Linked DNA regions of Nothobranchius furzeri. The protein of the gene in region 1 interacts with the protein of each later gene in a pairwise test. Links are inferred from orthologs where the notes say so. Each region holds a gene or a part of one and is shown on either strand. Other genes may lie near its edges.

Region 1 (3,929 bases):
CGCAGTGAAGCACTAACCCACTGAAGCACCACCAAACACCGTGTCCCAGGGGTCAGGACTTGTTTACTGCTGATGGACTGATAAACCTCCAGCAGTCCAATGAAGACAGGGACAGCGTTCATGTCAGGACCTTGGTCCTCTTGGTTCTGCTCCTGCTTAATCAGGCTCAGGGTCATTGAAGGTGCAGCCTATCCCAAAAGACTGGCCAGGAGACTAGAGACCCGGCTGGGATTCAGACCTTCGACCCTAAAGAGCGGTTTTTACTGACCTACATGACCGTGACACTGAGTCATGGAGGCTCTGCTGTTTGTCACATTTGAGGAGGCATGTTTCTGCTTGCTGCAAACTACGAGAAACTGGAAATAAAAACTCATGTTAAATAGCGTCAAGTCCCTCGTCTAAACGGTAAATTATGAGTTGATCGGAACTTTTGCCGCAGTGAGTCACTCTGGGATGTCAGAGGGCAGAATGCTAAGAACACCATGACGCTATGGTTATGCTAATTACTGCGCCTCGCCAAACAACATTTTTAACGGTTGTAACTGATGAGTAATGATGACCGCAGCAAGGAGAAGGTGGAGTTACCAGGTAGTTGATGACGTAGAAGCGGTCGTAGTCGTGGTTGTTGGCGTTGATGCGTCTGTGAGTTTTCTTCCTCATGTGATCCTTCAGCGTGGTTTTATCTCTAAATGTTTTCTCGCAGTACAAACACTGCAGGCTGAAACAGAAACAATGACACATTTTGTGATGCCCTCTTTAACATTTAGATCATTTTTTACAGATTTAAGCCATCAGTTGTTTCATTTGTGTCGCCAGAATGTCTGAAACCTGCATCCGTACTAAAGAAAAGATCTAAAGCTGAAATTAGACCGGTCACTCTGAGGGCAGCACTTCTACCCTCTCTAGACCAGCCTCAGTTAGCATAAGTGTCAGCGACATCTAGTCGAGGAACAGGTGTGAGATCATGTGCACCACACGACAGTAAACCTAATGTGATTTGATTCTCACGAGTCCAGTTTGTTCTGCAGGGTGTCCAGGAACTCATCACAGTACACGATGTTGTCTGGAAGGCCGATGCTGAAGGAATGTTCTCTTGCCATGTGGTTCAGCAAAGATGACCTAAAACCCAGAAAGTCTGTTCAAAATACTCCAAGGTCTTAAGACCCACTGATACCATCATCCATGAGCCTACGTAGTCAAATAAAAAAAGTAGTAATAAAACAGGGTTGTCCCTTTAAAGTGATTTCAAACACCTCTACTAAAGGAAGTCAGATTTGGACAACCTGTTTCCAGTGAACTCCTCGCTGCAGAACATGCAGAGATGATGGAAGCTGCTGTCATCTCTCTCCTTCTGCTGCTGCTCAAGGACCTCCTCCTGTAGAAGACAAATGCTCATCATGGTGGAAACAAAAACCAGAGTAAAGGTACTCTCCACCTGACCAGGTATGACCAGGTACGTACATCCTGCATGTGTGTAATGTGTGATACAGGATCTAACAGAGAGCAGCACTGAAGGCACCACTAGTGGACACTACTTATAGAAGACAGAAGGACAAAGATGCTCCTGGAGTCCGGAGATTAAGTCATGTGACCTGTTCTCCGGAAAGCTGCAGCTCTGAGTGTGTTTATGTGCACAGTTCATTATTCAGTACATGTTAATTGGCTGAGTGGACCAAGACAAGTCTGAACCAGTCTCACCAGTCGTTGCTTCTGGAGTCTCTCTCTAAGGATCCGGTCTTCTGGAAGGATGTCACATAACAGGAAGTAGTCTTCCTGTTTCTCTGTGGGGACAAAGACGTGTCATCAGCTTTGAAGGACCTCCTTTAGACCGTTTCTAGAGGTTGGACTCAGTTTGTGTTCATTTCTGTTGGTATGGGAACTGACCCAGTGGTCCAGTAGAGTTGGTCTTAATCACACTGCAGAACTCTGTGAGCGGCTGCTCCAGGAACCGGCCCTTCCAGTACTGCAGGTACCTGTTGGAAACAATCAGATCAGAACCAGACTTTACATCGGACTTTAGATTGGTCAGTCGGAATGGGTTGGTACTTTGAGAGGTCTGCGATGAGCTGGACATCAGCGATCACCAGCTTGTGATCCAGCACCAGGTGTCTGAGAAGAGTGTCTTTGAGCAGCAGGGGTACGGACTCTGAACAGAACAGACAGACCAGCAGGTCCGAACTGGGCCGCTCCAAACTGGCAGCGCTGGAGCATCCAGCTGGCGGGTCTGGAAAACACAGCGGTTCCAGGATGCTGTCCTCACCTAAGGAAAAGACATGTGGACCTGACGGTTAATACGAACAGCTAGTGACCGTAAACCGGTCCGAACCGCCGCCCACATAGCGGGTGCTCTAAACAAGCCGAATATTCAGAAATGGGTCCAGAAAGTTCTCAATAGGCACTTAAAATATATTTAAAACTCAACATACCATGTTTACTTCGGTCACTGGCGGCCATGTTGTCACGTGGTAAAGTAATGGTCCAATAAGAGCAAAGAGCTGTCCGCGGCGCGTTCATGCTCCTCCGTTAAAACCACAAACTTCACATGGAGCGTTCATGGTGCCAACTCCGTGTTGGTTTCCTCACAAGTTTCTGCTGCTGTTCCAGATGTTCTGCTCCATAAACACTCTGCACCAACAGATGTTCAGGTTTATGAGAATTCTGTTCTGCTTCACACGGACGAGTGTTTTATTAAATCATTTTTAGAAAGGAGTCATCGGGAGCCGGTCTCATACAATTTGTTCAAACAACAGAGCTGAATTTTTTTATTTTTCTTTTGTATTGCTGTGTATTTTAACATTTATATTTCATGTAGCAGCCAAACCATTCACCCAAACGATCAAATCAGAAATATTCAACATGATGTTTTTGCTTTCGATTAGCCCATGCTTCACACGTGAATCTGTAAAATCAGTAGCATAGCCTTAAGGTCTGAAACCATAACCCTAGTTTAGTCATATCAGCGGTATGTTTTTGTTTGTAGGACAGGATTGGGGCGTCTCTGGTGAACAGTGAAGGGCTGATAAGGACGGCGGCTTTAGGACCCGGAAGATCACCCTGTGGGTCAGACACCAAGAGGACGGAAGTTCCGCTGCTGGTAGGTGTGTTAGCTCGGTTCTGTTTCATGCTTTCTTTGAAGCATAAAAAGTTGCTAAGTGGACGGTTGTCTGCGGGAGTAATATTCTGCTATACTTTTTTTCGATTTGCTGGCATTAATCGTTGTTTTCATTCTTACTCTGCTGCTCTCTGTTCACATTTGAAGTCCCTTTTTCCGATTCACTTGCTCTCGAATGGACTCTTCTGCCCTTAAACTAATACAAATGTCCTCAGTCCTTCAGCTTCAGTTCCTTCCCTCTGTGCCCTCCTCTCGCGAATCCTGCCTAAAGTCCCCCAGCCAATAGGAAGCCAGATATGATGCTGACTAATGTTCTTGTCACAACCTTTAACCGACTCCCATCGGTAAAGGTTTAGCGGTGGTGGCAGCATCGTTATGTGGGCGATTTTTCTCAACAGCAGGAACTTGGAGACTAGTCAGGACAGGGGGGAAGATTAATATAGCAATGCACAGAGATGATAACACTAACCCTGGATGAAAACTTGCTCCCGAGTGACCGAGGTGATTGTTCATCTTTCAGTAGGACAATAATCCAAAGCACACAGCCATGGTATCAAGTGTCTTCAGGACAACTCTGTGTAGGACATGGTCCAGCAAGAGCCCAGACTTGAATCTGATTGAACATCTCTGGAGAGATCTTATATAGCTTTCCTCTTTTGTGATGTCACAATCTGAGAAAAAATTTGAAACAGATAATTTAAGTAAATAATTCTTAAAACTAAATAGTGAAAGAAAATGGATAGACATGTTTTTTCATATTTAGAGTAAAACTGAAAATATCCAAAAGGTGGATTTTGCTTTTGTCCTCTTTAAAGTG
Region 2 (3,145 bases), on another chromosome or scaffold:
AACTAAGATGCACTGAAGTGCCAAATTACTGAGTACACGTGTCTGCAGCACGATTAGACACTCGTTTATGTAGTTTATCAGCAAAAAAAGTTGATTTGGGGGTGACTTGCTCTTTAAATTCAAATGCAGTGCAGAGTTTTTACCTGACAACGGCACAACACTGCAATTTTAGGAAGAAAATTCGATTTTTAACTAAAATGCACTCAAGTGCAAAACAATTAACTACACATGTCTGCAGCACAATTAGACACACATTTATACAGTTTATCAGAAAAAATAAGTTGATTTGGGGGGTGACTTGCTCTTTAAATGTGGTACACAATTAAATTTTGTATTTGTTGCATTTATGTCTTTGTTCAGTGCAGAGTGATTTATTCTACTTTATTCCTGTCGTGACAACAAAATATCGCCACTGAGATTAAGATGTATAAAATTAGAGTGATGATAGCCACAATTATTTATGATGGTTAATATTATGATGGTTATAAATTCAAACACAAAATCAAAATTATAGCTTTATGAATCTCTACTGACAAAATAAACTCATTTGACCATTTGATTTCATTCCAGTGGTTCTTTCTTTATTCAGCACTGAAATAAACACGCTGAAGGTTTTTTTGTATTGCATTCGAAGTTTTCCTGTAATCTACCCCAAAGCAGGAATATTAGAAAATTTTGCATATGAGAAATAAATAAATAAATACATACACAGGGAGTTCTTTAAAGTTTATTTTTACCTGTGATTTATGCTGCAGCATATTGTATTATATTACGACAAAAAGTTGGGGCAACTGAATGCGTGCAAACTGAGTTATGGAGATGAATGCTAACTTTTCTGTCAGCCCCGAGGCAATCACAGAGACAGGCTGACTTATAAACATGCACATATAATGACAGCTGCTTCAGTGTTTGAACAACACAGACACCCGTTTGCCCAGACTACATTCACATTTGCCAAATAAACTTATTTATTGCATCTTTTCAAAGAATAAGGTTATAAGGCTACAGATCTGGCCTGAGGATAGGGATTCAGTTTTATGAACTCTTTTTTATCGTGTCCTTCTAGTCTCCTTCTGCAAATCCATTTTGCAGGGGGGAGAGAGAGAATGTCCTTGGGTGCTAATCTGAGATGTAGAAAGCTCCCCAGGTCTTTTTTAGCAGACGACACAGCCACCTTTCTCCTTGAAGGGGTTCTTCTCCTCAGAAATGCCTTTGACGAGGGTGTCCTCCTCCACTCCCGCCTGAATGTAGTCCTTGATTTCTTCGCAGCATTTAGACGTCTAAAACAACAAGAGGGAGCGTTGAATGAAGCTATCTGCTCTTTGATTCAACAGATTTAAAAGGATTGCTGTTATTGTGCGTTTTTTTAATCGTGTCAGTGTAAAGAACTTACCAGCCACCGTTCAAGTTTGACTTCAACTTTGAGTTGGTTCACCTCCATTAAAGCCCTGTCCTTGTCCGTCAGATCCTCCACGTTTATGACAGGCATCGTCTGTCAAAGCAAAAGAAATGCTTAACATGTTCAGGATGTTAAAATATTAAAAATAGAGTTTCAAATGAGACTTACAAATGGTCACAGGCAACAGTCCTTCACTGCCAAAATCCTGCAGAAGAATCCCTCTCCCCTCTCTCAATCTGGGTTATAAAGTAATCTGCACCAACAATTCTAATCTGCTAATCTGATTTAAAGAAGCCCCATTGAAGAACGATGCCGTGTAGCTCAAGTTTGCCTACAAAGGCGATTGTGAATCACACAGGTGTCTGTTTGGATTTGTCTGCATGTTTAAAACATATATTTGTTGTCTTTTAACAAACAAATCAGAATTTTAGTTGACTGTGAGTCTGAGTGCAGATGAATGTGGGTTAAAGGGTGGTGCTTCATGCATCGGATCATTCTGATAAGAAGGCTAATCTGTATTTAGCCTCTACCTGTCAAGGTGGAGGCGTATCATTGGTCTAAACATGACTGCACGGCAGTTTTCCATTCACATCCAAAAGTTTGAAACAAACAATATTTACATCATAAAAAATGTCCATGAAAAAAGTTTTACTGTTTGTTTTGTGCATGACCAAAATAAAAAAGTGGGTGAAAACGTTGCTTGTACATCTCATGATCAGCCAGATGTTTTACCTGAAGGTCTTTTGTGGACGTACATCAGCTGATTGATAGGTTTAAAATGTCTTCCGTACCTAACTGATGACTCAAAATCAAAGGTTCTCGTCAGGTTTTCCCTGAAGTCGGCCCTTTCTGTTAGTACATCATCTCAGGAGTGGACTTATATTCAATCACCAACATAACTGATTAACTTTTGGAGGCAATCCACTTCAGAATGTGCAATTTTGGGAATCTTAACAACCCAAACATGAATTCCACAAATTTTACAGACGTAAAACATGGTTTTATTGTTGCTGTGAGTCATTCAAAAACATTTACCCTAACCCTATAGCAAACCATCTAAACAAGCTAGCTTATGAAGAGCAAGTCACCCCCAAATAAACTTTTTTTTGCTGATAAACTAAATAAATGGGTGTCTAATCGTGCTGCAGACACGTGTCGTCAATAATTTGGCACTTCAGTGCATCTTAGTTAAAATTTAAATTTTCTGCCTAAAACTGGCAGTGTTGTGCCGTTGTCAGGTAAAAACTCTGCACTGTATTTTAATTTAAAGAGCAAGTCACCCCCAAATCAACTACTTTTTTCTGATAAACTATATAAATGTGTGTCTAATCATGCTGCAGACACGTGTAGTCAATAGTTTAGCACTTTAGTGCATTTTAGTTAAAATTTAAAATTTCTGCCTGAAACTGTCAGTGTTGTGCCGTTGTCAGGTAAAAACTCTTCACTGCTTTTGAATTTAAATCTGCCATCGCTATTGGCTAAGAGGTATGCTATGATGTAAACTGGTACATTATGATGTCACAATGTCGTGAGTGTGTGTATTTGTTAGTGCCTCCACCCTCTCGGTCTGCTAGGCAACAGCATTTGTTGCATTTTTCAAACATGAAGTGGGAGTGAAGTACGCTTCTTGTAAGGGGTGACTTGCTCTTTAAATCTGCCACCGCTATTGGCTAAGAGGTATGCTATGATGTAAATTGGTACATTATGATGTCACAATGCTGTTGTGAGCCTGTGTGTGTGTATTTG

The links.
Region 2: the proteins of znf277 (region 1) and gngt1 interact in a two-hybrid assay, tested with the Homo sapiens proteins (3 studies listed by BioGRID and IntAct). The two-hybrid records come from large-scale screens. The link is inferred for Nothobranchius furzeri from reciprocal best matches to the Homo sapiens genes ZNF277 and GNGT1.

The regions. Positions count from the first base shown.
Region 1 is NC_091744.1:55,284,216-55,288,144, reverse strand, and holds the start of znf277 (zinc finger protein 277), read right to left. Parts: upstream 2,578-3,929; 5' UTR 2,515-2,577; coding exon 2,427-2,514; intron 2,261-2,426; coding exon 2,047-2,260; intron 1,974-2,046; coding exon 1,885-1,973; intron 1,782-1,884; coding exon 1,699-1,781; intron 1,376-1,698; coding exon 1,284-1,375; intron 1,222-1,283; exon of another isoform or gene 1,120-1,221; coding exon 1,009-1,119; exon of another isoform or gene 719-1,008; coding exon 586-718; exon of another isoform or gene 1-585. Other genes in the region: immp2l (mitochondrial inner membrane protease subunit 2), read left to right, coding at 3,568-3,613. UniProt on the Homo sapiens protein: Probable transcription factor. Involved in modulation of cellular senescence; represses transcription of the tumor suppressor gene INK4A/ARF, perhaps acting via the Polycomb group (PcG) complex PRC1.
Region 2 is NC_091751.1:27,157,272-27,160,416, forward strand, and holds gngt1 (guanine nucleotide-binding protein G(T) subunit gamma-T1), read right to left. Parts: upstream 1,719-3,145; 5' UTR 1,568-1,718; intron 1,493-1,567; 5' UTR 1,490-1,492; coding exon 1,394-1,489; intron 1,281-1,393; coding exon 1,155-1,280; 3' UTR 712-1,154; downstream 1-711. UniProt on the Homo sapiens protein: Guanine nucleotide-binding proteins (G proteins) are involved as a modulator or transducer in various transmembrane signaling systems.